Sus scrofa: one gene and its partners. The protein of the gene in region 6 interacts with the protein of the main gene of each other region in a biochemical or structural test. Links are inferred from orthologs where the notes say so. Each region holds a gene or a part of one and is shown on either strand. Other genes may lie near its edges.

Evidence for each region.
Region 1: the proteins of E2F1 (region 6) and PHB form a complex in vitro, tested with the Homo sapiens proteins (2 studies listed by BioGRID). The link is inferred for Sus scrofa from reciprocal best matches to the Homo sapiens genes E2F1 and PHB1.
Region 2: of the proteins of E2F1 (region 6) and SETD7, one has a biochemical effect on the other in vitro, tested with the Homo sapiens proteins (3 studies listed by BioGRID). The link is inferred for Sus scrofa from reciprocal best matches to the Homo sapiens genes E2F1 and SETD7.
Region 3: the proteins of E2F1 (region 6) and CCNA1 form a complex in vitro, tested with the Homo sapiens proteins (2 studies listed by BioGRID). The link is inferred for Sus scrofa from reciprocal best matches to the Homo sapiens genes E2F1 and CCNA1.
Region 4: the proteins of E2F1 (region 6) and TOPBP1 form a complex in vitro, tested with the Homo sapiens proteins (4 studies listed by BioGRID and IntAct). The link is inferred for Sus scrofa from reciprocal best matches to the Homo sapiens genes E2F1 and TOPBP1.
Region 5: the proteins of E2F1 (region 6) and PURA form a complex in vitro, tested with the Homo sapiens proteins (2 studies listed by BioGRID). The link is inferred for Sus scrofa from reciprocal best matches to the Homo sapiens genes E2F1 and PURA.
Region 7: the proteins of E2F1 (region 6) and RBL1 form a complex in vitro, tested with the Homo sapiens proteins (2 studies listed by BioGRID). The link is inferred for Sus scrofa from reciprocal best matches to the Homo sapiens genes E2F1 and RBL1.

What each region holds. Positions count from the first base shown.
Region 1 is NC_010454.4:25,603,194-25,606,693, reverse strand, and holds part of PHB (prohibitin), read left to right. Parts: intron 1-889; coding exon 890-1,051; intron 1,052-3,500.
Region 2 is NC_010450.4:87,502,284-87,505,783, reverse strand, and holds part of SETD7 (histone-lysine N-methyltransferase SETD7), read right to left. Parts: intron 3,101-3,500; exon of another isoform or gene 3,087-3,100; coding exon 2,897-3,086; intron 1-2,896. UniProt on the Homo sapiens protein: Histone methyltransferase that specifically monomethylates 'Lys-4' of histone H3. H3 'Lys-4' methylation represents a specific tag for epigenetic transcriptional activation.
Region 3 is NC_010453.5:12,394,892-12,398,948, forward strand, and holds the start of CCNA1 (cyclin-A1), read left to right. Parts: upstream 1-1,257; 5' UTR 1,258-1,434; exon of another isoform or gene 1,435-1,598; intron 1,599-1,889; 5' UTR 1,890-1,913; coding exon 1,914-2,078; intron 2,079-4,057. UniProt on the Homo sapiens protein: May be involved in the control of the cell cycle at the G1/S (start) and G2/M (mitosis) transitions. May primarily function in the control of the germline meiotic cell cycle and additionally in the control of mitotic cell cycle in some somatic cells.
Region 4 is NC_010455.5:74,832,878-74,836,377, forward strand, and holds part of TOPBP1 (DNA topoisomerase 2-binding protein 1), read right to left. Parts: intron 3,347-3,500; coding exon 3,167-3,346; intron 1,577-3,166; coding exon 1,407-1,576; intron 7-1,406; coding exon 1-6. UniProt on the Homo sapiens protein: Scaffold protein that acts as a key protein-protein adapter in DNA replication and DNA repair. Composed of multiple BRCT domains, which specifically recognize and bind phosphorylated proteins, bringing proteins together into functional combinations.
Region 5 is NC_010444.4:141,876,500-141,880,574, reverse strand, and holds the start of PURA (transcriptional activator protein Pur-alpha), read right to left. Parts: upstream 2,801-4,075; 5' UTR 2,013-2,800; intron 1,544-2,012; exon of another isoform or gene 1,065-1,543; intron 1-1,064. UniProt on the Homo sapiens protein: This is a probable transcription activator that specifically binds the purine-rich single strand of the PUR element located upstream of the MYC gene. May play a role in the initiation of DNA replication and in recombination.
Region 6 is NC_010459.5:37,187,319-37,191,349, forward strand, and holds the start of E2F1 (transcription factor E2F1), read right to left. Parts: upstream 2,801-4,031; coding exon 2,796-2,800; intron 2,741-2,795; coding exon 2,629-2,740; intron 2,505-2,628; coding exon 2,112-2,504; intron 1-2,111. UniProt on the Homo sapiens protein: Transcription activator that binds DNA cooperatively with DP proteins through the E2 recognition site, 5'-TTTC[CG]CGC-3' found in the promoter region of a number of genes whose products are involved in cell cycle regulation or in DNA replication.
Region 7 is NC_010459.5:40,258,646-40,262,145, reverse strand, and holds part of RBL1 (retinoblastoma-like protein 1), read left to right. Parts: intron 1-1,709; coding exon 1,710-1,910; intron 1,911-2,622; coding exon 2,623-2,687; intron 2,688-2,788; coding exon 2,789-2,917; intron 2,918-3,027; coding exon 3,028-3,188; intron 3,189-3,500. UniProt on the Homo sapiens protein: Key regulator of entry into cell division. Directly involved in heterochromatin formation by maintaining overall chromatin structure and, in particular, that of constitutive heterochromatin by stabilizing histone methylation.

The DNA of each region.
Region 1 (3,500 bases), on a different chromosome or scaffold from region 6:
AAAAAAAAAAAAAAGATAATTGAACTGACCACAAAGTGCAAAAAGGCAGATATACTCTGATCTTTTTGGCCAGCCCTGCATGGCTAGACATCATCACCATCACTCATTTCTCTCTCAGTCAGCAAGACAGCTCTGTAGCCCCTTAAAACCGTAGAGAAACCAAGCTATTGGAAGTAAAGAGTGGGGCCTTCTGAGTTGTAGGGTTGCCGGAGTGAGGGTGCTGTTTCTGCGCACACTGGGTGAGGCTGGAACCGGAGGGAATGTGGTAACAGTGAAGACCTTGGTGAGTTTTAGAAAGTTTTGAGAAGTGATTTCTGGAAATGCTTTGCGAGTTTGGGAGTGAGGTGGTTAATCAGAAAATCAGCAGCCAGTTGTTTCAGAGAGAAAGGGTGCTGAGGAAAGCTCCTGTAACCAAAGTCCTTGGGAAGACACATGGGAGTGATTGCTTTGTTTTGTAGCCATTTAGAAGCCTCTAGAGGTCAGAAGTCTGGGAATGTAGAGCAGGAGAGGGGAGACTTAATACATGAATAGAAAGCACTGGGAGGAGTTCCCGTTGTGGCTCAGCAGTAACCTGATTAGTATCCATGAGGACACAGGTTCCATCCCTGGCCGCGCTCAGTGGGTTAAGGATCCGGTGTTGCCGTGAGCTGTGGTGTAGGTCGCAGGCGAGGCTTGGATCTGATGTTGCTATGGCTGTGGTTAGGCCAGCCGCTATAGCTTCCATTTGACCCCTAGTCTGGGAACTTCCATATGCCTTGGGTGCAGCCCTTAAAAAGCAAAAAAAAAAAAAAAAAAAAAAAAAAAGGCGCCAGGGATCTTTCAAGGGCATGATCATTTTGGTTAACGGGTGAAGGGATTTTTCTGACCCATCGTTTTCCTTCATTCCTAGTGGATGCTGGGCACAGAGCTGTCATCTTTGACCGGTTCCGTGGTGTGCAGGACATTGTTGTAGGGGAAGGGACGCACTTTCTCATCCCTTGGGTACAGAAGCCAATTATCTTTGACTGCCGCTCTCGACCACGTAACGTGCCAGTGATCACTGGTAGCAAAGGTGAGTCTTGTGTGTGGGTCAGGGCAAGTGGAGAGTCGGGGAGGCTACTGTGAGATCCAGAAGGGGTCGAACTTCACATTGTAAGAGTTCCTGGCATATCTTTCCTAAAGAGTTTTATGTGCCTTTATGCAGCATAGAAGGAAATAGGCAACCCTTCGAGATACCCCTGGTTTGGTCACAGACCACCACAGCGAGGCAGATGCTCTAATACAGTGAAATGCTTGACAGAGTTCCCTGGTGGCCGAGCAGGTTGAGGATCTGGTGTTGTCCCTGCTGTGGTTCAGGTCGCTGCGTGCCAGAGGTTCAGTAGCTGGCCCAGGAGCTTTTGTATGGTGCAGGCGCAGCCAAAAAAAAAAAAAAAAGAAAGAAAGAAAAAGTTACTGATGGAAGATAATGTGAGAAAAAGAATGTGTACATGTGTGTGTGTGACTGTGTCACTTTGCTGTACAGTAGAAATTGACAGAACACTGTAAAGCAACTATAATGGAAAAAGTAAAAGTCATTAAAAGTTTAAGATAAAGAAAGAAAACATTGTGGTTGGGGAGTCCCTGGTGGTCTAGTGGTTAGGACTTGGCGCTTTCACTGCTGCAGCCCAGGTTCCATCCCTGGTCTGGGAACTGAGATCCCACATCCCGCCACTGCAGGCTGTGGCCAAAAAAAACAAACAAGCAAACTTTATGGCTTAAAAATGCTGACCAGCCTTTGAGCCTTGGGTGAATTATCGAAGTAACATCACAGATCATTGATCACAGATCACTACAACAAATCCGGCAATGCTGGAAATTTTTGAAATACTGCAACAATTACCTAAATGTGACACAGACACAAAGCAGATACTTTTAGAAAAATGGCACAGATATGGAGTTCTCCTCGGGGCGTAGCAGCAACAAATCCAACTAGGAACCATGAGGTTTCAGGTTCGATCCCTGGCCTCGCTCAGTGGGTTAAGGATCCGGCGTTGCCGTGAGCCGTGGAGTAGGTCGCAGATGGGGCTCGAATCTGGCGTGGCTGTGGCTGTGGTGTAGGTTGGCAGCTACAGCTCCGATTGGACCCCTAGCCTGGGAACCTCCATATGCCGTGGGTGTGGCCCTAAACAAAAAAAAAAGAAAAGAAAAATGGCACAGATAGACTTGCTTGATCCAGAGTTGCCACACATCTTCAATTTGTAAAAAAATGCAGTGTCTGCAAAGCACAATAAAACGAGGCGTGCCTGTATACTGGAGATCCGCGCACAGAGCCGTACAAATTTAGAGAAATGCACGCAGATGTATTTCAAGAGTTACCCGGTGATCCAGGTTTACAGAAATCTAAATGCGCCTGTGCCCCCTCAGTTGACCCTTCCCAGTCGGTTCTCATTCCCCAGGGTGACTGTAAACTGATCTCCAGCCCGTCTGTTGGCCTTCACAGCTGACTTAGCCTTTGCCCTGCTTCCCAGGGCCTCTGCTTCCAGCAGTGCTGCACTCTCATGGCTTTCGCACAGGCCAAAGCCCACATCCCCAAGTCTGGTGCCTGGCGCACCACTGGCGTCCCAGTCGGAGCCTAAAATGAATGGCTGTTCTGGTTCTCCCCTCTTCCCACCCCCAGAGGTGCACGGGCGGTAAACGGAATGGCAGGTACAGGCTCAGGGGTGACGTTTCTGTGCAGCAAGGGGAGAGGGTTGAGGGGACGTCGCTGATCCTCAGCAGATGTTTGCTTTCTGTGGTGGTGCCAGGCCTGGGGCTGGGTCAGAGAGCGGGGGTTTAAAGACGACGGCAGCAGGCAGCAGGTGCCCTTAGGAGCTCGGTCTAGCTGGGAGGTGGTCCTGCGGACAGGCAGTTAGAGGGAAGCGTGGCGGGCACAGCCTGTGGGGAGAGCAGAGAGGAGCCCGCTTACGAGGCACATGCATCTGCTGGCACTTGAGAGGGAGATGTGTGGCGGGCTGAGGAGGGGACGCGGTGCATTGGTGTTGCATCGTCTGTCCTGTTGCCCCCCCCCCCCCCCCCCCCCGCCAGCCGGGGAGAGGAAGGAGCCTTGTAAAGGGTCCGGCTTAGCAACCGCGTCAGAGGACCTCAGTGGTGGGGTGTGGTTAATCAAGAAAAATCCTATTTTATCTTACAGGCCTGGTTCTCAGTGTTCGCTCTCTCCGGGAGTGCTCTCTCTCTCTACCGTTTAGTGGTTACACGGTGCGCCTCAAGGGTACACTGTGCACCTCTCTTCAGAACTTGATGGGAACCGCAGAGATCAGGGACTCGTGTGTGAACATGTCCCACATCTGGTGCCTGGTTCAGAGCTGCTCTCCCGGGCGCTTGGTCCATACTGCTGTGACCACGAGCAAGCTCTGAGCACTTTAGCGCCAAGCAGGCCTGGGTTGTCAAGGGGAAGTTTTAGTTCCCTTCCCGGATTCCTTTGACCGGGCCAAGTAATTAGAACTGGCCTCTTGATGCGTCTGATAACCCCTTCCATCTGGTGC
Region 2 (3,500 bases), on a different chromosome or scaffold from region 6:
TAAGGCTAGAGGTCAAATTGGAGCTGCAGGTGAGGCCTACGCCACAGCCACAGCAACGCTGGATCCAAGTGGCATCTGTGACCTATGCAATGCTGGATCCTTAACCCACTGAGCAAGGTCAGGGACCAACCCTGTATCCTCCAGAGACTATGTCAAGTCCTTAACCCACTGAGCCACAATGGAAACTCCTCCGCTATAGTTGACACTGTTACTCATTCACTTGACGAGCATTTATTTTAAGAGGGGAGCCAAGCTGTAATGATGGGATAGTCATTAGCCGGGGAATGGAATTCCTATGTGGAGAGGCGAAGAGATGAGGAGAGAAGACATTCCAGACAGAGGCACAAGGAGAAACTCAGCACGAAGTAAATGAGGAGAGAGAAGCAGTTTGCGGTTCCAAAGGCCCAGAGAGAAAGGTTGTGGGAGGGAGAGGGTCCCGAGGAGGACTTCAGGTGAGGTACTTCATTCTGCTTCCTCCTCCTGCCGCCGACCCCTGGGCCAGAGGCCACATGACCCTGAAAGCCGGCTAGTCAGCAAGTCACTAACTGTAACTGGAAGAGGAAGGGGAAAGAAACAAAAGGGGCAGGACTCAGAGTAAGGACTGTGCATGGTCCCCAAAGCACCCCGCATTCTTGACCCCTCTGACACCCGAATCATCCAACCTTTCCTTGAAGTAACTGAGGCCTGCTGGGATCTTGCCAATAAATCCACCCCCTCTTTTTTTTTTGGCTTTAAGTCAGTATGAAGAGGGTGTTTGCTATTTGCAAGCAGGAATTCTAAGAAAAAGAATCATTCCCCTGAGAATGATCCCTCTCACACCCTGAAATGTGTTTCATACTTATACCAAGAAGAATGTGATAACCACAGGAGCTTTCCAGACAGTGTTTTACCATTGGTGCCACGATCTGTATTTTACTAGGAAGAAACAGGTTCTGAAAGGATAAATAACCTGCCCAAGATCATAATACAGTAAATGTTGGAGCTGAGGTGACTCTTAAGTTCAAGATCTTGCCATTAAAAATGCTGCCACTTCTGAAGTCTTCAAACCTGCATCACCAGGTGGGATCTCCTCTTGGCTGGAGTCTCCTCCTTGCGAACATAAGGACCCTGTCTCCTTTGAGAACATGTGTGAAAGGCTCAGAATTAGAATCTGAAGTTCAAAGATGACTGTTTCACTTAAAAAAACAAACCAACCACCTTTTCATTTTGGAATGATTTTAAGTTTACAGAAACATTGCAAAGATAGTACAGAGAGTTCCCAATAGCCCTCACTGTTTCTCCTAATGGTAATTTCTTATGTTAGATGGTACGCTTGTCCAAATTAAGAAACCAACATAGCTGCGTTACTATTGACGGAACTCCAGACTTTATTCAGACTTCACCAGTTTTTCCACAAATGTCCCTTTTATGTTCCAGGATCCAATCCAGAATCCCACATGGCATTTAAAATACCTCAATTTTTCACTTAAAAAAAACACACAAAAGCTGAGCCATTTAAACAACCCAAGCTGGACCTAAAGGTAAAGTGCTAGGTTTCCTGGTTTTGAACAATCCCTTTGGAGACTCTCCTTTCAGTCCAAATAGACCTAGCAATGCCTGGACATATTCTCTTTTCTACTTTCTTCTCCTTATACCTTAATTTGGCTTGGAAATACATACATGTTTATATTGTTTTCAAGGAAGAAGACCAATTCAAACAACTTTCTTATAATTTCTTAATTTCTTTCTTAAAGTTTTATAGAAAGCTTTCATTTTTTTCTTTGTGTATTTTCCACAATACATAATTTTTTAATCAGAAAAAAAGTTTAGTGTGCCATCCTGTACCACTACAAGGAAAGAGAATTTTTTTTTTTTTTTTTTTTTTGGTCTTTTTAGGGCCACACACACAGTATATGGAGGTTCCCAGGCTAGGAGCTGAATCGGCCTACTCCACAGTCACAGCAACCTGGGATCCGAGCCATGTCTGCGACCTACACCACAGCTCACGGCAATGCTGTAGATCCTTAGCCCACTGAGCGAGGCCAGGGATTGAACCTGCATCCTCAAGGATGCTAATCGGGTTTGCTAACCACTGAGCCACGATGGGAACTCCGAGGATTTTTTTTACGATGTGGATTCTGATAGGCTCACTCACGGATGGGACATGTACTCCAAGAAGATGCTAGGCTGTGAAGAGGGCTGGGGTGACAGTGTGCATTTATCTTTGCCATCACAGCTCAGGCTGAATCAGCTTTACAGTCTGTACCAACTTGGAGATCTACCTGATTTGCTTCTTTAAAATCATTAAACTATAGTTTTTTTCCCCTAAGATATAATATTTAAAATTGACTGAATGACAGCTGTCATTTCTTCACTCCTTTCCTGCATTAGAATTACATGGCTATGCCCTTGTCAGGTGACCTTTCAGCATCTGCCACTAAAGGGCATGGTGTGTATTTCCCTGTCTCATGGATGTTCAGCTTGGTCATGTGATTTGCTTTGGCCAATGAAAAGTGGGTGAAAGGACATTGTGTCAATTCCATGTTGAGGCTTTAAGAGGTATCACAGGTGTCTGCTCAGGCTCTGGTTTCCTGGGACCATCTGAAAAATCCTGACCAGGTCACAAGTGTCCCTTCAGACAGGGCCTCAGAATTAAGACACAGGGCAGATTCCAACCTAACTAGAAGCCTCAAGTCCAATCTGGCCTGGCCATGCCCAGCCTGGACCAGCTGAATACAGCTACTTAGCATATCTGTGTTTGCTACTGTAAAACAGAGATGCTGAGGGGTCTGTTACACAGCAACCCTGACTAATAAACCATGAACATGGACTAGACAAAGAAGCTAACTTCTTCCAAAGAAGGCTTTCCAGCCTGCTTTGGAATTAGCACAACCCGCATGAATCAGATTTAACTTACTTCCAGGCATCAGTTCAAAGTGAGGCTTTCCTTCTTCCATGGACATGAGAGTAGCCAGTTTCCCTTCTATCATCTCTCCATCAATGAACTTTCCATACAGGGCAGTCCTCTCATCCGGGTACACATAGGCTATCTTCTCTCCTGTCATCTCCCCATCTTCATTTACTTCTCCTACAAGGCTACCTCCATCCTGATGGGAAAAACCCAAAGCCAGAAAATATTATATATAGTATTTATCTATATGGCACGAGTTCAAGACATTTCTCTAGTGCTCCCCCAAGGTTAGTACCACTAATAGGAGTCATAAGAGTTTAAGAACTCAAAGCTTTTACACAAACACGAACAACCTGATGCATTTTCTCTTCTCCATCCAGCTCCACACAAATAAACTACTGGAAGTTACATGCACGGGGGCATATAAACCTTATTTAGAACCAGAGATGGGAAGCTCCTGCTGTGGCATACCAGGATTGGCAGTGTCTTGGGACTGCTGGGACTTGGGTTCGAGCCCCTGGCTGGCAGAGTGGGCTAAGGATCCAGTGTTGTCACAGCCTTGGCTTGGTTTGAGGCTGTGGCTGGGATCTGATCCCTGGCCTGGGAACTC
Region 3 (4,057 bases), on a different chromosome or scaffold from region 6:
GTCGGATTCCTTTCCGCTGCACCACGAGGGGAACTTTGATAACTGATCAGCTAATCATTTCTTAAAATGCTCATTTAAATGGTTTTGGTGGTCTGCTTAGGGATGAGCATTTAAAAAAATAAAAGCAGACAAAAGCAGCAACGTTTTATATGCAATGTGTATATGTGTGTGCACACAGATACACACACATGTGCACACAAATATTTTCCAAAAAATCACAACGTTAAAGACTCTTTTACCTGCCTTGCCAGTTAACTTCTGCGGGTGGACCCCCATCCAAGGATTTTCCTCCCCACGTGGCGAGGCCACCTGCCCCGAACCCAGTTCCGAGCCTCATTACGTTCTCCCTCAACGTCCCAAGCCCCATCGCTGCCACCCGCGTTCCTTCCTCTTCCTGGGCCACTATCTCGGCGTTCCTGGACCCGCCTCAGGCCGTGACTGCCGGAACCCGCCAGGGAAGACCTCTCGTGGGGACTGTCCGCACCACGTGCGACCCTAAAACCCCAGATCTCCTCTCCCACCCTGCCGGGCCAAATGCACCAGAACCCGGGCCGACCAGGAGCAACCTCTGGTGCGCAAGGACTCAAAATGAGCGAGGACACGCCGCCACCACGGATTAGGAAGCCCCAGCCCAAACCAGGGGCCAACCCGCAGCTATGTGGCCTCTCTCTGGGAGAAGGTGTAGGTGTGTGGGCCAGCGAAGGGGATCTAGCCGCGCTCTGGGGCGGGCGCGGTCAAGGCGCCACGGCCTGCGCAGCCCCGAGGGCCCCGCGTCGCTCTCCCGAGCCAAGGTTCTCAGGAGCGGGCCGAGGAAAAGACGTTGGCGGGAGGAGTTAGTGGCTGTTGGGAGAACGGGTTCAAGGAAACAGTCCCTTCCAAACCCTGGCCATCGCGGGGTGGGCCTTCTTCCTCCCTGCCAGACCCGGGAGGCCAGCCAGAAAGGGCGCGGGTGCCCGCGGCGACCCGCTCGCCCGGGCACGCCCGGGCAGGGCAGCGCAGGAAGAGCCCGGGGCGGCTGCCGGTTGGTCCCTCCCAGCCCTGAACGCCCAGGGGTCGCGGTGCGTCCGCCCCGAGCGTGTCAGGTGAGGAGGTCGCCATAGCGATGCGACCCGGATCGCGCACGCCGGCCGCGGTTGGCATGGAAACGGCCCCCCCGTGAGGCCCGAGAGCGCCGCTGATTGGCCGATTCAACAGACGCGGGGGGCGGGGGAGTTGAAAATAATTAGAGCTGAGGAGCTGGCAGCCCAGGCTGAGATCCCGGCGCCAAGGCTGGAATCTATTAACACCTCGGTCCCCTTCCGCCTCGCCCCGCCCCGCCCCCGCCCCCTTAGGCTGCCCCTCATTCCCAATCCTGGTGTGCACTTGCCAATTGTTCGAGACATATATAAAGACATAAAGCTGAGACGAGCGAGGCCCGCTGTGGGCTTCAAGCAGGTTTTGGGGTCTTATGTCTTGCGGGAGGAGGGCCGCGGAAGAGCACGCTTCTTGTCACTTGGGAAGGGGATATATTTTCCCACAGTGATGTATCCTGGGTCGACTGCAGGCAGAGGGATGGTGGGGTGATGGATAAGTCTCATAGCCGGAAAAGACATAGACCTGTAGGTTTGGACTCCCAATTAACCTGGGGCTTAGTGTCCGGCCGTGGAGGTCTGCCTTCCTCCTTCCAGCCGTCAGCCTGGTTTGGGAAGAAAGCCTGGAGAGATTCAAATCCCTGTTTTGGTTCAAAGTAGCTTTGATCGCTTGCACCGTGGCTCAGGCCTTTTCAACCCTAATAACTGCAGTGAAGATCATATGTTTCAGTGCTCTCTCTTCTGGGGATTTGCTGCATTCTGGAGCCCGTGCTGGAAGAGGTTGACTAACCAGCATGTCTGTTTCTCCTTCCCTGATAGCAGTAGCCTGTGGAGACTGAGGCTATGCATCTCAGTAGCTCCAAGAGCGGGAGAGTGCTGGCTCCAGTGTCCGGAGGTCCTGATGCCTGTCAGATGATGTCCAGAGCCCAGCTCAGCCAGGATCCACCACAAAGAACAGTACTAGGGGTGCTAACCGAGAATGGGCAATACAGGAGGACCTGTGGCCAGGTAACGACTGAGAAGAGCTGGGACGGTTACCTGTTGAGAAGGGCTCTCATGTCATGGTGAGAGGTGGGTTTCTCTGGCAGTTTTACCTACAGACGTCCCCTGAGTATTTCAACCCTGGAATCTGGACTAGAGGGACCTTGATTTATTAAAGATTTCTTTCTTGGGTCCTTTTTCTAGCTAGAAATATTGAATACTTTTCTGTTATTTTTCCGATATCAAGGAAAGAAACCTAGGAACTGTTTAGAGTAAGTATGCGTAAAGTCATTTAAGTTCTGGGCTAAAAGGAAATGAGAATGCTCCAAAATAAACTGTGGAACTGGGGTTCCCACAGATTGGAGCGGTATCCACACTGATCTCGGCTGTGCCTGAGGCATCCTGGGTAACTTTTAAGTTCATTGGTGATGGTGTAGAATCAGGATTGGATCAGCCTATCCTAGATTACTTCAAAATGCGTGCTTTGAAAGTAGACTTCTCTCCAGGACTGACTAAGGACAGTTGGGCAAACAGCTCATGGGCCATCTGACATTAGTTGCTTGCACTTAACGGATCAGAGATACTTCCTTTAACTGATTGTAAACAAATTCAGAGACTTATAATGTAAAAGAGGAGTTTGGATCCTTAAGAATGAATTTTGAGATTAAACAAAAAAAATCTAAGTCTGTTATTAGACAAAGCTTCTCATAACCATGCCTTAAGTCTGTAGTGTACATATGTAGTGGAATGACATTGGCAACCATACAGTGACATAGGTGGGCAGGTGTTCTTTCCATTTTATATGTGAGCAAATTTGAGAGGTTTAAAAAAGACCAAAAAAGAAAAGAAATTCATGATGGAGACCAGATCAGAAGCCTCTCCTCATCTACAGACTATTCAAGTCATCTGTTTTGGTGACATCTGATTAGTGAGAGAAAAATACCCAAAGTAATGTTTCAAGCGTTGGAAAAAACAGAGTAAAGGTGGTTTTAACAAACTTAATGTGCTTAGTGGTGTTTACTTCTTTAAACTTGAAGTTGAAAACCTCTTACGAATTGGCAGTTACACCTACGCTGACTGAGCTCACTTTAAATTCACAACTGTCAATTAAGCTCTGTGTTGCCTGGCGATACCTCTACATTTCCCGACTCTATTCCTCTGCACCCTTCTTATAGAAACCTCCTATTTTATACATTCCCTTCTCTTTTTATCCTTGAAAGCCTCCATCTCCATCCTTACTCTCAGTTAATAACTATATCCTATTTTCCTAAAAATATAGATGTAACCGGAAGAGAATTTCCACATGGTCCCGTGTACCTACCATATACTCTGCCACCCCCTTCCCGCTACGTAACCCATGTGTCCCTGCTCTTATGCAAGGGGAACGCCCCGTGTGTGCAGCACACCTTATGCCCTTTTGCCTTTTTAAGGATATCATTCCATCACCTTGTCTTTCTCTTTTCCACTGGATCAAACCCAGAAGCATGAAAATATACTGTGATTTTTTTTTTTTTTCATTCCTAAAAACCTTGCAACTACAAAGCTCTTTGCAGCAACTGTCCCATTTATGGCAGTATTTCTTGAGGGTTTGTCTATGTAAATTCCATCAGGATGAGGGTTTGGGACATTGGGTTTACTGCTGTACTTCCAGTGTTTAGAACAGTGCCTGGCCAGGGTAGCATGCGAGGATTTATTGAACAAATACTGTGTCTCAGATTCTTCTCTTGTTCTCTTTGACTCAATTCTTAATCAGTTCTCAAGCCTTTCCTTACTTGACCAGTTGGCAGCATTTGACATTGTTGATCATTCTTCACTCCTTGAAATAGTTTCTTCTCACGCAGTCTGGAGAACAGGGCCTGGTTTCCAACCTAGCTCACTGGCTGTACCTCCTCGGTGGTCCTTCCTCATCCGCTCGCTAAAAGTTAGAGTGTGCCAGGGCTTCGTATTTGAGCTGAATCTCCACTCACTCCCATAGCAATCTCTTCCAGTCTCCTGGCATTAAATAC
Region 4 (3,500 bases), on a different chromosome or scaffold from region 6:
ATAGATCTGCAAAGAAAGGAAATATTTACTTTAGATTAATGCAATTAAAATGGTTTATTTCTCAATAGAAACTTATTTATTAGAAGTACATATCTAAATCCATTGTGTATAAATAAGACAACTCTTGCGTACATTTTAAGATATATTAAGTGCAGTATATTCTGAAACTCTGATTTTTCTTTTTTAAAAGAATTTTTTGGTATGGAGTTCCCATCGTGGCTCAGTGGTTAACGAATCTGACTAGGAACCATGAGGTTTCAGGTTCCATCCCTGGCCATGCTCAGTGGGTTAAGGATCCAGCGTTGCCGTGAGCTGTGGTGTAGGTTGCAGACATGGTTCTGATCCCGAGTTGCTATGGCTGTGGTGTAGGCCAGTGGCTACAGCTCCAATTAGACCCCTAACCTGGGAACCTCCATATGCCACGAGAGCGGCCCTAGAAAAGGCAATAATAAGACCAAAAAAAAAAACAAAAACTTTGGTTTTATTTTTATCACTTCTTCACAATGCCATAGCAGTATTATCCTTTACAGTAGACACCTGATAAGGATTTTGAGGCTTTAAAATAATTACAGAAATAAACTGGAGTTAAATGTGTGAACTCAGAAAATCTACATTTAAATTTTGGTTCAGTGGCCAATGATTAACCACATGACCAAGTCAAGATACCTAAGATTCTCTAAAACCAATTCCTCTTATTTATAAATTGAGAGATCTTTTTCAGCTAATTAAACAAAGAAATTTAAGTCAATGAACTGAGCACAATGCTTTGAGGATGATACATACGCAATAACCTATTTTTAACTATCAATATGTACATATTTAAACTAATTTAATCAATTTAACAGTCTTCTTCAACTCTTTTTTTTTTTTTTTTTTTAAAGGGCTGTACCCTCAGCTTATAGGAAGTTCCCAGGCTAGGAGTCAATCAGAGCTACAGCTGCTGGCCTATGCCACAACCACAGCAACGCAAGATCCAAGAGGAGTCTGCAACCTACACCACAGCTAACAGATCCTTAACCCACTGCATGGGGCCAGGGATCAAACCCACATTCTCATGGATACTAGTTGGATTCTTTTCCACTGCACCACAATGGGAACTCCCTTCCAGCTCTATTTTACATAATGTGTTTTCTAAAAATTTCTCAAGAATGACCCATCTATTCCTAACTACAGTTACATTCAAAACTAAGTAACTCTGTTACTAGAATATATTTTAACAAAAATTAGGAATCTTACACTTATTATAAGTAAAGAATAATTAAAAGTCACAACCAGGGAGTTCCTGTTGTGGCTCAGTAATTTAGATAGATAAGGATCAAGCCCAACTCTGAAAGGTATTCACAGTGAAGCTAGAAGTACTAATGTACATTACCACTTACTGCTTTAATTATATGACAAAGACATACCCGACAACCATCCAGTAAATCTTCAGGGGCTTGAAATGCACTGACATCCAGATTTTCCAGATTTTCCAGAGTAGGCTCCACTTTGCTATTAAGAACTGAATTACATATTGATTCATTTATACAACTTGCATTGATGTTGGAAATATGGCTGACATCTGAAAGAGTACGACCTACATATTAAACAAAAATGTATAAATTTATGGATACAAAATAATTGAGATTATATATTTTCCTATAGATTAACTTGCCTTATATAAAAAGAGCTATGAACAGTTTCCAAAGTAAGAGTCAAATGCTGGAGTTCCCATGGTGGTGCAGAGGAAACGAATCTAACTAGGAACCATGAGATTGCCGGTTCGATCCCTGGCCTCGCTCAGTGAGTTAAGGATCTGGCATTGCTGTGGTGTAGGTAGCAGACACGGCTCGGATCTGGTGTTGCTGCGGCTTGGTATAGGCTGGCAGCTGCAGCTCTGATTCAACCCCCAGCCTGGGAACCTCCATATGCTGTGGGTGTGGCCCTAAAAAGACAAAAAAAAAAAGAAAGAAAGAAAGAAAAAGAAAAAGATTCAAATGCTTTTACTGAAATCTTGGTGCTAAGTATGAAAAGGGAAAATGAAACTAATTAAAATTCATTTATTTAAAGGAAAATCTATTTAAAACATTTTCTCTCTTTTTTTGCTTTTTAGGGCTGCACCTGAGGCATATGGAAGTATCGGACACATATGCCAACATATGCCACAGCCACAGCAATACAGGATCTGAGCTGTGTCTGCAACCTACACCACAGCTCACAGCAACACCAGATCCTTAATCCATTGGGCGAGGCCAGGGATTGAACCCACAACCTCATGGATACTAGTTTGGTTTGTAAACCAATGAGCCATAACGGGAACTCCCTGTAACTTTTGATAAATTGCTGACATGGTACCTCCAAAACAGAAGTGGCTTTAAATTTCATATGAACACAGATGATCTATAACAATTGCAGTAAACAATAAGGAAAACATACTAATATGTACATGCCAGTCAAAATTAGTCCTCTTATTTTAAGTCTTTAGTATTTTTTTTGCCTCTCTCTCTTTTTTTTTTTTTTTTAGGGCTGCACCCTTGGCATATGGAGATTCCCAGGTTAGGGGTTGAAATGGAGCCACAGCTGCCAGCCTGCACCACAGCCACACGGAATCCGAGTCAAGTCTGAGATCTACACCACAGCTCACAACAATGCTGGATCCTTAACTCCACTGAGCAAGGCCAGGGAATCGAACCCATGTCCTCATGGATCTTAGCTGGATTCGTTTCTGCAGCACCACAACAGGAACTCTCTACAACTTTTGTTAAATTGCCAATATAGTACCTCCAAAACAGAAGTAGGTTTAAGTCACATAAGAACACTGATGATCTATAACAACTGCAGCAAACTAGTAAATAAGGAAAATGTACTAATATGTGCATGCCAGTAAAATTCTAAAAAAAAAAAATCCTCTTATTTTAAGACTTTATTAGTATTCTTAATTTCTTTAATCATCTTCTGCATTATATTAGGGTATGAAATAAAGTATGCATTCAATATAAAAAGAAATAATCAGGAGCTCTGGACTAATTTTTAAAATACAATTTGGTTATTATACCATTATACCTGGAAGCACAGTAAGAAAAGATGAAATCCCTCACCATATCTCCTTGATCCTATTAACAAATCAATTCTAACACAGTAAACTGCCTTAAAAATGACTGTTTACTTGAATCCCAAAGAGACCTACTATCAATAGTGTTGATCTGACCAGTAGGAGTTGAAGTATCAGGCAGGGTCTTTGTTTCTGGTCTAGGCTCCGTCTTGTATATGGATTCATCCTGACAAAAACCCTTCTCAACACTGTCAAAAAACCACTGTGTGGTCACACAGTGTACATTCCATCTCTTTGCACATTCATATTTTTGACCTAATATATTCATTAAAAAAGAGAAAGAGAGAAATATAAACCATTGAGAAAATCTACCTTTGCAGAAATATTCAAATTACAGTAGGTTATGAAAAAAACACACCTGAGACAAAATTAAAAGTTACCAGTAATTAGCTATATAGTGTATTAAAAA
Region 5 (4,075 bases), on a different chromosome or scaffold from region 6:
CCTCCTCCGACAGGTCTACCAAAAAATGGCAAACCAAATTCAGCCCATTATACAGCACGGGGACCTCCCTTCCAAGGGCACGGGACACAAACACAGACGCCGCTGCGAAAGCGCCTGGCCCGACAGAAACGTTAAGGGGGCCAGATAAGAACGAATTAGAAACCTCAAAAGGGTCCCGCTGAGACAACGAAAATCAAAGTACCATTTATTCAGGGGTAGACAGCAACGAACCCAAGAAAGTTTCCCTCGCCGGACTCTGGGGCCTTTCTTTCTATCCAAATTCAGGCTCAAGGCAAATATATTTGTGGAAGTCCCTGCCCCTATTTACGTCTCAGCTGCTGCCGGGGCCCCACCATCGCTCAAAGGGCAGCCTCTCCAACTTCACATCCGTTCCTCTGGCCCTCGGACAGAGGCAGAGGCGGCTACGGAGCTGAGCGAGCTCCGTGGGGCGGCGAAAACGCCGTGTTCGGGCCACCCATCCTTGGGCCTGGCTTCATCTGCGATGTCAGCACCAATGTATTTTTTATTTTTACAACGCATACTGGGCGGGTGTATGCATTGCGGGGGTGGGAGGGGGGGGTTCAACAGAGGAAAGGAGGGGTTGGTAGTGGAGCCTAGAACCCTCCTTCCTCTCCCCTCCTGCCAGGATTGCCGGGCAGGGAGTGTCGGCCAGGTTTGGCGCACTGTCCCAGGCCCCAGGCGAAGGTGGCTAGAGGGACTGGGGCTTAGGCATCGCTAGCAAACGGCATCATTGGTGGTCTCCAGCGTCTGCCGAGGTAGGATTGCCTTTTTTCCTTTTCCTTTTCTTTTCTTTCTTTTTTTTTTTTTTTAAAGGGGCGTGTGATTTTCTTCTTTTTTGGAGATGGGAGGGAGTTTGTCCCTTCGAGCGCTCGGGAGGGAGGGGGCGCGTTGCTGCACTGCCAGGGTCCCCGGAGGGAGGGTGCGGGGACGTCTACAGCGCTCCAGTCATTATTCCTGGGGCATAAGAAAACACTAAGAGGGGACAAAGTGGGCGGCACCTCGAGCTAAGGCAGTGGCAGCAGAGAAGGTCGCGAGGGGCTTACCGGGGCGGGCGGGCGCTGTCCTGCCGCAGGTGAGGGAGGGCGCGGGCTGGAGGGAGGGAGGGCGCGCGCGAGGCAGGCGCGAGGCAGGCGCGAGGAAAGGGGGAGGGGAGGAGGGCGCGCGCGCGCACACCTGTCCTGGACAGCGGCGCGAGCTGAGCTGCGCCTCACTCGGGCTCCGCCGGCTGAGGAGGGAGAAAGGCGGGCTGGCAGGCGGGGGCGGGACGCCGAGGGGAGGAGGAGGAGGCGGCTCGGATGGCTGGCTCGGCTCTCGCTCGTTCTCCCTCCCGCTGGCAAGTCCGGCTCACACCCTGCCTCTCCCGCTCACTCACAGCCCCCTTGGCTCTCCCTCCTCCTCCTCCTTCCCCTGCGGGATCCGCTCGCCGCCGCCGCCGCCGCCGCAGACGGCAAGTCGTGGCAGCCAGACGTCGGCGCGTAACCCGGCGCTCCGTGCGTGACTCCGGGCGACGTCAGCGCGCGCTCCCCGCTACCCACCATCTCCCCCCCACCTTCCTCCCGTGGCTCGCGCCCTCCGCCCTCGCGTCCCTCCGTTTCAGTTGCCGCCGCGGCGGCGGCTGCCGAGCGCGCTCCCTCCGCCCCCCAGCTCGCGCGTGCGCGCGCCCTCCCGGCCGTTGGCGCGTCAACAGCCTGCGGCCCAGGCCTTGAGGCGGGTCTGAGAAGGGGGCTGCCTGCCGCTTCTCGGGCCGCACTTTCTCCGCCCACCTCCGGTAGCGCCCCCCGGAGGATTTATTCCTCGTTGGGCTCAGAGGGCGGAAGCCAGGCTCAGACGGGGACAGAACCCTGTAGGGCCTGCGTCAGCTCCAGTTTAGGGCCCTCAGCGTCGTTGTCGGTGCCGCTACCGCTCGGTCACCCCCCCCCACACACACACATCCCGTTCCGCCCGCATCTTTCTGGAGGCGACAAGCCTTTCATCGCCCGGGAGGGTCTCACCTTGGCCTTCAGACGCGCGTCCAGAGGGGCTAGAAGGGCGGAATTAGCATGAAGAAGAAGGGGCTAGTCCAAGTTCAGGCTCTAGCCCCAGGAATCCTTGACAGGAAGCGTGGGGTGGCAGCCCAGCCTCCCACGCAGTGTAGGTGAAACTGGGCCCCTTTGAGGGACTGTGACTAAGGACAAAACCCTGATAAATATTACTTATGCGTCCTTGGGTCGAGAGGGAGAGAGTAACAGGGACGAGTTCATTTTCAGAAATTGCTATACTAGGGTGAAATGTAGAACTGTAAAAAGTCCTTAAGAGTTTTCTTGAAATCTTAACCAAATTTGACAAGGTTTTTGGTACATGTTAACTTTCCCCCTCACTTTGGATACTGCCACATCTCCATCCTGCAACACTGCGTACGAAAATTATGGACTGCAAAATAAGCAGAAAATAGCCTTGCCCATCTTTATCATTATTTAAATAACTCTCAGGGAAGTCAATCTGTGATTAAAGAAAACTGAATCATTGTTTTAGCTTATTTAACTGAATATATTTTGAGGTTACTTTGCAGTACACCGTGAGGTACTCTTATTAGGCAAAAGGAGACTTTTAAACTCATTTAATTATAGGACCTTTTCCAAGAAGCTTATCTAGCTAAGACTTAGAGGCAGATAGAAGAGAGGGGAAATTAACCCCATTTTATAGATGAGAAAATTGAATTACAAAAGTATGTCAGTTGTTGAGAGTTGCATGGAGTCTGTCACCCAGAGGAGGAAACACCATGCATGGGTCTTTTATTACCAGCTTTAGCCACTAAACCAGAAGTTCCTCAATAGTTTTACTTCTAGATATCTTTTAATCCCCCCCCCCCCACACACACTTTATGTATTAGAGGAAGCGACTGAGGTCTGAGAGAAATTTGGGGGATATTCTTGGAGACCTCAAATCACAGATCATTTTAAAGGGTTTGAATTTGAAAATTTCTGCCATGGAAAATGACAGCAACACTTCATTGTGAAACAAGCTTCCCTACTAACAAAACAATGTTTTTTTTTAATCCCTAGGTATGAGAAATGTTTTCCTTATAAAGTTTAAACAAATGTTTTTATTTAAGAAGTGAGAAAATTTTTGACACAGCCTTAAGAATGATGGGTCATTTCCTTTGAATTACTTATTCACCTCATCTTTAGGTGGCAGCACTACTGTATAAATATCTCTGAAACTACAGTCTTCTGCAACTTGATATCCTAAAGAGGGTTTGGTCTTAAATGCTTCCAACTATATAGTGGAGATTAGAAGCTGGTGAAAGTACGAAATCATAGCAGAGGTTCTAGAGGAGGAAAAACAGGCTTAATTCCATGGATAAAATGCCTGGAGCTACTGAGGGAAAAGATTCGAAATTTTTTTTTAAGCTTCTTAATATATTTTTTAGCTGTATAAGGAGCAAGTAGCATCTTTACTCCAAAGATCTCTTACTGAAACAGCACAAGATTACCTTCCAAAGCAAATCGTAATTTCTCAGTACTACATATTTATCAAGCATTTACAAGTGTAAAGTTGTCTGTTGTATAGTTGCCGGTATTCGCTATAATTTTAAAATTCATTTATTAAACTGTGTCAAACTTATGAAGATCCTCAAAAGGGACCCTGTTGTTGACCCCTGTGGAAGGGAACTCATCTTGTCTCCTTTCCTAACTTCCTACATTATTTATTTATTTATTTTGTCTTTTTGTCCTTTTAGGTCCACACCTGCAGCACATGGAGGTTCCCAGTTCTAGGGGTCTAATCGTAGCTGTAGCTGCCGGCCTACACAAGAGCCACAGCAACGCCAGATCCGAGCTGCATCTTCAACCTATACCACAGCTCACAGCAATGCCAGATCCATAACCCACTGATTGAGGGCAGGGATCAAACCCACAACCTCATGGTTCCTAGTCGGATTTGTTTCCACTGAGCCACGATGAGAACTCCTCCTACATTTTTTCCTGAAAAAAAAAAAAAAAAATCATTCCTCAAACTCAGAGAAATGAGAAGATAAGCTAAAACAAACATAAAATGGTAAAAATTTACAGATATT
Region 6 (4,031 bases):
CGGTGAATGCTCACCTGTGCAGAAGCTGAGTCTGTAGCTTGTTTCATGGGCTGCCCCAAACAAATGCCAGTGCCGAGGGTCAGTGGAGGCCAGAGCTCAGGTGGCCAGTGGCTACCGAAAGGTACAATGTTCAAGGCAAAACCTGGGCCCATGTTTCTCAACTTCAGCTCCAAGACAGCACCAGCCCCCACCCCTGCCCACGGCGAAAAATGTCTACTAGCCCTTAAGCACTGAGGGGCAGAGGCTCCTTACCTGCCTCTGCCTAGTACCTCATAGGCACTCACCAACAAGTGCTGAATGAAGGGAATGCTCAGGCCCACTGAGGCTGCCCCCGGCACCATAAGGAGTGGAGCACAGGGCATGTCTTTGGCCCAGTCTCTGGCTGTCCCTCTGAACCTAGAGCTCAGACTGCCGAGGGCAGGCCCCACAGCCAAGTACTATCAATTAGCTAAATGGAAGCTACCTGTCCAGGCCCCAAGCTGGTACTTGCAGTAACAGGTTGCTGAGGTGCAGGAGACCAGCCAAGCGACCCACCCCGGTACAATTTCCATCCCCCTCACTCATTAGGAGGAAGGGGTCCTGTGCTTTCATCAACCTCTATTAGCATCTCCAGGAAGCGAGGCATCCTAGTGGTTAACCACTCAGGAAATCTGGACTGGTCTCACAACTCACTAGCTGAGTAACTAGGGAAGGTTCTAACCTCTCTAGGCCTCAGCTTCCCGACCTGGAAAAGGGGAAAGTTGTTGAGAGGGTTAAATGAGTTAATTGGGTAAAGTGCTTGGCACAGGGCCTAACACACAAAACAGTCTCAAAATAATGGTGGCTGCTATTGTTATTATTAGCATCTTAGTGATTCCGGAAGGAAGGCCACACTGGGCAAGGGGCCAGGGGGACTGGGGGAACCTTGGTGGGATGCCTCAGGGACCAGCTGCCACCCAGTCCCCCAACAGTAATTGGGCAGATACTACTTCCTTGCCCTGGGCTTTGCCTCTCCCCTCCCACTTGCTCCAAGCCCTGTGCTGAGACCCCATACTGCTTGGCTGGCCCCTGCCTGCCCATCCATGCCCTACCCTTACCCACAGGCTGCGCCAGTCAAACTGGTCTCCACACCCTGTCCTGCGGCCCACAGGTCCAAGCTCCAGGCCTCCACCCCCTTCTCCCCCTGTAACTCAGCGGTCTCTTCTGAGCCCCCCCCCAATCTGAATTGGTCTTAAGCCTCTTGCTGCTCAGGGAGCACTTTATCAAGGCATCTCCCTGGGGCATTTACTCTTTTCTAGCACTGGGGGCCTCCTCTCCAGCTCCCAGAGGCCCAGCCCACCCAGTACTTCCACTGGGGCCAGGGGTCTGCCTGCCTGATTAATGAGCTTCCATGGCAACCAGAGTCTGGGAGGGTGGAGGGTGGCAGATGGAAGGACAGGCAGAGGGAGGGGAATCAGCAGCTGGCCCAGCCACCCCGCCCCTGCAGAGAAGGCCTCCCAGCCAGGCGGCCTGTCCCCAGAGGCCCGGAGGGCTAGGCCTGCACCTGGCAGTCCAGCATCCAGGCAGGAAGGAGGGTCTCCTCAATGGCCCTTCAACTTTCTGGTCCCAGAACTTTCCCCTGACTTCCCCAAGCAGCCGTGCCCACCATCCAGCCACAAGTTCTGGTCTGAAGCCAGCAGGCCTCAGTTCAAATCCCACTTGCAGCCTTGTGACCAGGGGGCAAGCCACTTCCCCTCTCTGGGCACAGTTCAGATGGGCACAGTGACAACACAGAGCTAGCTCACAGCATGGATGTGAGTTTTAGCTGCCTTGAAGTCTGCCAGAGGCCTGGCAGGCAGTCAGCAACAGCTGAATACACGTGGGCCATTATTATCATTGAGTCTGACCCTAGACAGGCTCCAGCGAAGAAGCTGAGGCCCAGAGCACAGAGGAGCAAACAAGGACTGGCCCGAGGTCACCCTGCACCCCGGGGCGGAGCCCGAAGGCCCAACCCAAGCTCGGCACCGCCCAGCCTGGGCGCCTCAACCCACCCTCCCCCGCCCTCGCCGCCTCCAGGCCAAACATAGCGCCCCGCCCGGGTCTACGCCGGGGTCCAGGCAGCGCACTTGGCCCAGTGTCCCTGGTGTCCGTACCGGCGGGCGGCCGAGCGCGGGGCGCGGCGCGCTGGGGGTGGGCCGGGGCGCCTGCGGCGTGGCGAAGAGCAGCAGGTCGGGGTCGCGGGGGCCGGTGGCGGGCGCGGCGGGGCCGGCGGGGGCCGCTGGGGCGCTGGCGTCCTGCGCGGTGGAGATGATGACGATCTGCGAGGAGTCGAGCAGCCGCAGCGCGCCGGCCCCGAGCAGGGCCTCCAGCGCCGGCGCGCATGGGCCGCCCGCGGGGGCCACGGCCATGGCGCTCACGGCCCGCGCGGCCCGGGTGGCAGTCGGCGGCGGCGGCGCGGGCCCATGGCAGCAGGCCGAGGCGAGGGCTCGATCCCGCTCCGGATCCCGCTCCGCCCCCGGCCGCCGCTGCCTGCAAAGTCCCGGCCACTTTTACGCGCCAAATCCTTTTTGCCGCGAAAGAGCCACGAGCCGCCGAGCGCTGCGCCTATTGGCTGTCCTGGCTGTGACGGAGGCGACGGCGACGGCGCCCATTGGTTGCAGCGCGCCGGACCGGCGGCGGAGGGCGGGACGGGGCGGCGGCGCGAGGAAGCACCGCCAATCGCAGGATGGGGCGCGCGCAGGCTTTGTCGGGGCGGTGCCAGGCGCGTTCGCACTCCCCGCCCCTAGAGGGGACGGCCCTGTGTGGGGAGTGGTGGCCCCACCCCCTCTTCGACGCACCCCATCCTGTTGATACCCTTTAGTGGAGGCTTTTACAACAGAACGTGTGTTGTGCACAGATCGCTATCCACAGACCCCACGTGACCTCCCAGAACCCCCACCTGTGGGTGCTCCAACACCCTCAGGCCATAACTCTAGAAACTGCAAACGCAGTTTCTCTTTTCCAGGATCTCAAGCCCACCTACAAAACCCCAGCCACATCTTTCCTCAACTTGCCCCACCAATGCCATTTACTTTCAAATCCTGCGCCCACCTTATCCCTTCCACCCAGAGCACAAGCAGAAGGAGTTGCCAGAAAATGGAGAGGAATGTCTGACCCAGTACAGCTTGGGGCTTTTCTCCAAAGCCTCCTGTAGCTGGAATCGCTTCAACAACCAAAGCACAGCTTCTGCTTGAACTGATTCCTTCGTTCATTCAACAAACCTTTTTTTTTTTTTTTTTTTTTTTTTTTTGCTTTTTAGGGTACCCCCTGGAAGGTTCCCAGGCTGGGGGTCAAATCAGAGCTGTAGCTGCCAGCCAAGGCCACAGCCACAGCAACATCAGATCTGAGACCTGTCTGCCACCTACATCACTGCTCACCACAACGCTGGATCCTTAACCCACTGAGCAAGGCCAGGGATCGAACCCACAACCTCATGGTTCCTAGTCGGATTCATTTCCGCTGAGCCACTTTGGGAACCCCAACAAATGTTTTGAGAGTCTGCTCTGTGCCCCCTTCTTGACTCCTGGCCCTAAGGATCTAACAGTTTAGTGAAAGGGGCTGGAGGGAAACTGAGGTAACAAATGTTTACATATGACACAGATTTCAACTATTAAGGTAATTCCATGTTAGATTTTACAAAGGGAGGAGGTGAGTGTGCTGAGCAACCAGAGGCCACAGGACCTCCCCATCAGCCACTTCTCATTGCTCAGTTCAGCTGATTTGAGTTATATTGTCCTCTCCTCTGTGCCAGGCTTTGTGCCAGCGCTGAGGGCAGATATGTGAAAGGCTTGATAATTTCTATGAACTTGCCTGCCATCTGGTGGGGATGGGCCCATCAAAAAAAAAGTAGCTGGAGTTTCCTCTGTGGCACAATGGGATCGGTGTCATCTCTGTAGTGCCAGGATGTAGATTCTATTCCCAGCCTGGCACAGTGGATTAAAGGATCGGACTTACCACAGCTGTGGTGTAGGTTGCAACTGTGGCTCAGATCTGATTCCTGGCCTGGAACTCCATATGCCTCAGGGTGGCCAAAA
Region 7 (3,500 bases), about 3.1 Mb from region 6:
TTTTTTTTTTTTTTTTTGGTGTTTTTAGGGCCACACACGTGGCATATGGAGGTTCCTGGGCTAGGAGTCCAATTGGAGCTGTAGCTCCTAGCCTACACCACAGCCACAGCAACACCAAATCTGAGCTGCATCTGTGACCTACATCACAGCTCAGGGCAATGCTGGATCCTTAACCCACTGAGCGAGGCCAGGGATTGAACCTGCAACCTCATAGTTCCTAGTCAGATTTCGTTTCCGCTGAGCCACGATGGGAACTCCTTAAATGAGCTTTAATACTACAGATTTTCAGTCTAAGACCATACTAACATGAGGACATAAAAAATTGCATCCATAATTGAATTAAGCCAGAAGGGTTGAGCCATAATCCATTAGGTGATTTTCTGGGTATATACTACCTTTTTAGTTTATATTAAGTGGTGGAACCACACGTTGGAACACAAACACTTGAATTTCATTCCCACTCTGTAACTGTCCGGTGCTTTGTGATTAACTTCCAGAATCTGATATTGGGAGATTCTATCTTTTGTCAAAATAGTTTTGTGAACTTATCAGTCTGTTGAGTAACATTTACTCTGTAGTTTATCTGCAGAGTATTGTCTGGGTGCTGCAGGGAATAGAAGAAGTAGGTAGGTGTTCCCGTATAGTAGAATGTATTTTATATATTGACCCCTAATTCAAAATCTACATTCTCATAGTGGTTCTGGGAACTAAAGTAATTTTTTTTTTTTTGTCTTTTTTGTCTTTTGCTGTTGTTGTTGCTATTTCTTGGGCCGCTCCCGTGGCATATGGAGGTTCCCAGGCTAGGGGTTGAATCGGAGCTGTAGCCACCGGCCTACGCCAGAGGCACAGCAACGCAGGATCCGAGCCGCGTCTGCAACCTACACCACAGCTCACGGCAACGCCGGATCGTTAACCCACTGAGCAAGGGCAGGGACCGAACCCGCAACCTCATGGTTCCTAGTCGGATTCGTTAACCACTGCGCCACGACGGGAACTCCGAACTAAAGTAATTTTATAGCACTTGGAGTGTGGGGTTTTTTATTTGTTCGTTTGTTTCTTTTTATTTATTTATTTTTTTGTCATTTCGCTATTTCTTTGGGCCACTCCCGTGGCATATGGAGGTTCCCAGGCTAGGGGTCTAATCGGAGCTGTAGCCGCCAGCCTACGCCAGAGCCACAGCAATGCGGGATCTGAGCTGAGACTGCAGCCTACACCACAGTTCACGGCAACGCCGGATCATTAACCCACTGAGCAAGGGCAGGGACCTAACCCGCAACCTCATGGCTCCTAGTCGGATTCGTTAACCACTGCGCCATGACAGGAACTCCCTGTTTCTTTTTAAAAAAAATAAATTCTGGCTTTTTTTTTCTTTTTATGGCTGCACCTATGGCATAAGGAAGTTCTGCAACTAGGGGTCGAATCAGAGCTCCAGCTGCTGGCCTGTGCCACAGTCGTGGCAATGCTGGATCCAAGCTACATCTGTGACGACCGCCACAGCTTGCGGCAGTGCCAGATCCTTAACCCACTAAATGAGGTCTGTGATCAAACCCACATCCTCATGCACACTCTGTTGGGTTCTTAACTTTCTGAGCCACAATAGGAGCCCCAATTTGGCATTTTAATAAATATTCTTAGGCATAAATAGAGTGTTTCCTTTTCCTTCCATTATATGGACTCATTTTAAAGTTGCTTTTTTTCTGTTCGTTTAGTTTAATACAGTTTTTTAGTAAAATGAAGAAATGGATGGACATGTCGAACCTGCCACAAGAATTTCGTGAACGTATAGAAAGGCTAGAAAGAAATTTTGAGGTGTCCACTGTAATTTTCAAGAAATTTGAACCAATTTTTTTAGATATATTTCAAAGTCCATATGAAGAGCCACCAAAGTTACCACGAAGCAGGAAGCAGAGGTGAGACCCTTAATTCTTATATAATTGACATAGAAATTATGATACAAGCTTAAGATAATTTCCATTTGATTTTTTAATTAAAGTATAGTTGATTTACCATGTGCCAATTTCTGCTGTACATCAGAGTTACTCAGTTATACATATATATACATTCTTTTTAATATTATTTTCCATCATGCTCTATCCCAGGAGATTGGATATAATTCCCTATGGTATACCATAGGACCTTGTTATCTATCCACTCTGAATATAATAGTTTGTCTACTAACCCCCCATCCCTGTCCATCCCTCTCCCCGCCACCCCATGTGACAAACAACAAGTCTGTTCTCTATGTCTGTGAGCCTGTTTCTGTTTTGTAGGTACATTAATTTGTGTCACATTTAGATTCCACATATAAGTGATATCATATGGTATTTGTTTCTTTCTGACTTACTTCACTTTGTATAATAATCTCTAGTTGCATCCATGTTGCTGTTATTGGTGTTATTTTATTCTTTTTTATGGCTGAGTAGTAAGGGAAATTTGCGTTTTTAAAAGTCTACTTTTTAACTTCATTTAATAACCCATAATTGTCTGGCCTTTGTGAACGGGAGTTTATAGGTAATTTGACTTTACTATTTGTTGTATTTGCTGTTTCAATTTAAGGGACACATGTGGAATGATATTTAGTAAGTTAGTCAAATAAAAGTACATTTTCCTCCTTTTTTTTAGGAGGATTCCTTGCAGTGTTAAGGAGCTTTTTAATTTCTGTTGGACACTCTTTGTTTATACTAAGGGTAAGGTTACACTTTTAATTGTTCTATATTTCTAATGTGGGAACTTGGTGCTATTTGACATGAAAGGTTTCTGGGTTTTATGTCTCTTTTTTCATATAAAGGTAATTTTCGTATGATTGGAGATGATTTAGTAAACTCTTATCATTTACTTCTGTGCTGCTTGGATCTGATTTTTGCCAATGCTATTATATGCCCAAATAGACGAGACTTGCTGAATCCATCATTTAAAGGTAAGATCTTATTTATTTTTGAAAACTGATTATCAATTTTTAGAAAAAGAGTTTTAAAAGTTGACCATATTCTTTTTCCCTCCATTGCTCTTTATACCCCGTCAAACTAGGTTTACCATCTGATTTCCATACTGCTGACTTTAGGGCTCCTGAGGAGCCTCCCTGCATCATTGCAGTACTGTGTGAACTGCATGACGGACTTCTAGTAGAAGCCAAAGGAATAAAGGAGCACTATTTTAAGCCATATATTTCAAAACTCTTTGACAGGAAGGTACTGTACTTACAATTAAATGACTCAGATATTAGGGGATTAGCAGCAGCCTCAAAGGGAAAACAATACTTTAAGCAACTTCTTAACAGTATAGGACTCAGGGTCAAGAGTCCCAGATTTCAGTCTCTGCTGTGAGGCAGAATTGTCCTATGATTTTCTGTGATGTGTGAATCTGAACTTTTGAAGAATATGACCAGTCATATGTACTGTCAAGTAAATGGACTGTCGGTGGCAACTGTAGGAAGTTCTGGTAAAGAATTATGAAGAACAAAACATCAGAGTAAACCTATAAAGAATTTTGAAAAGCAGGAG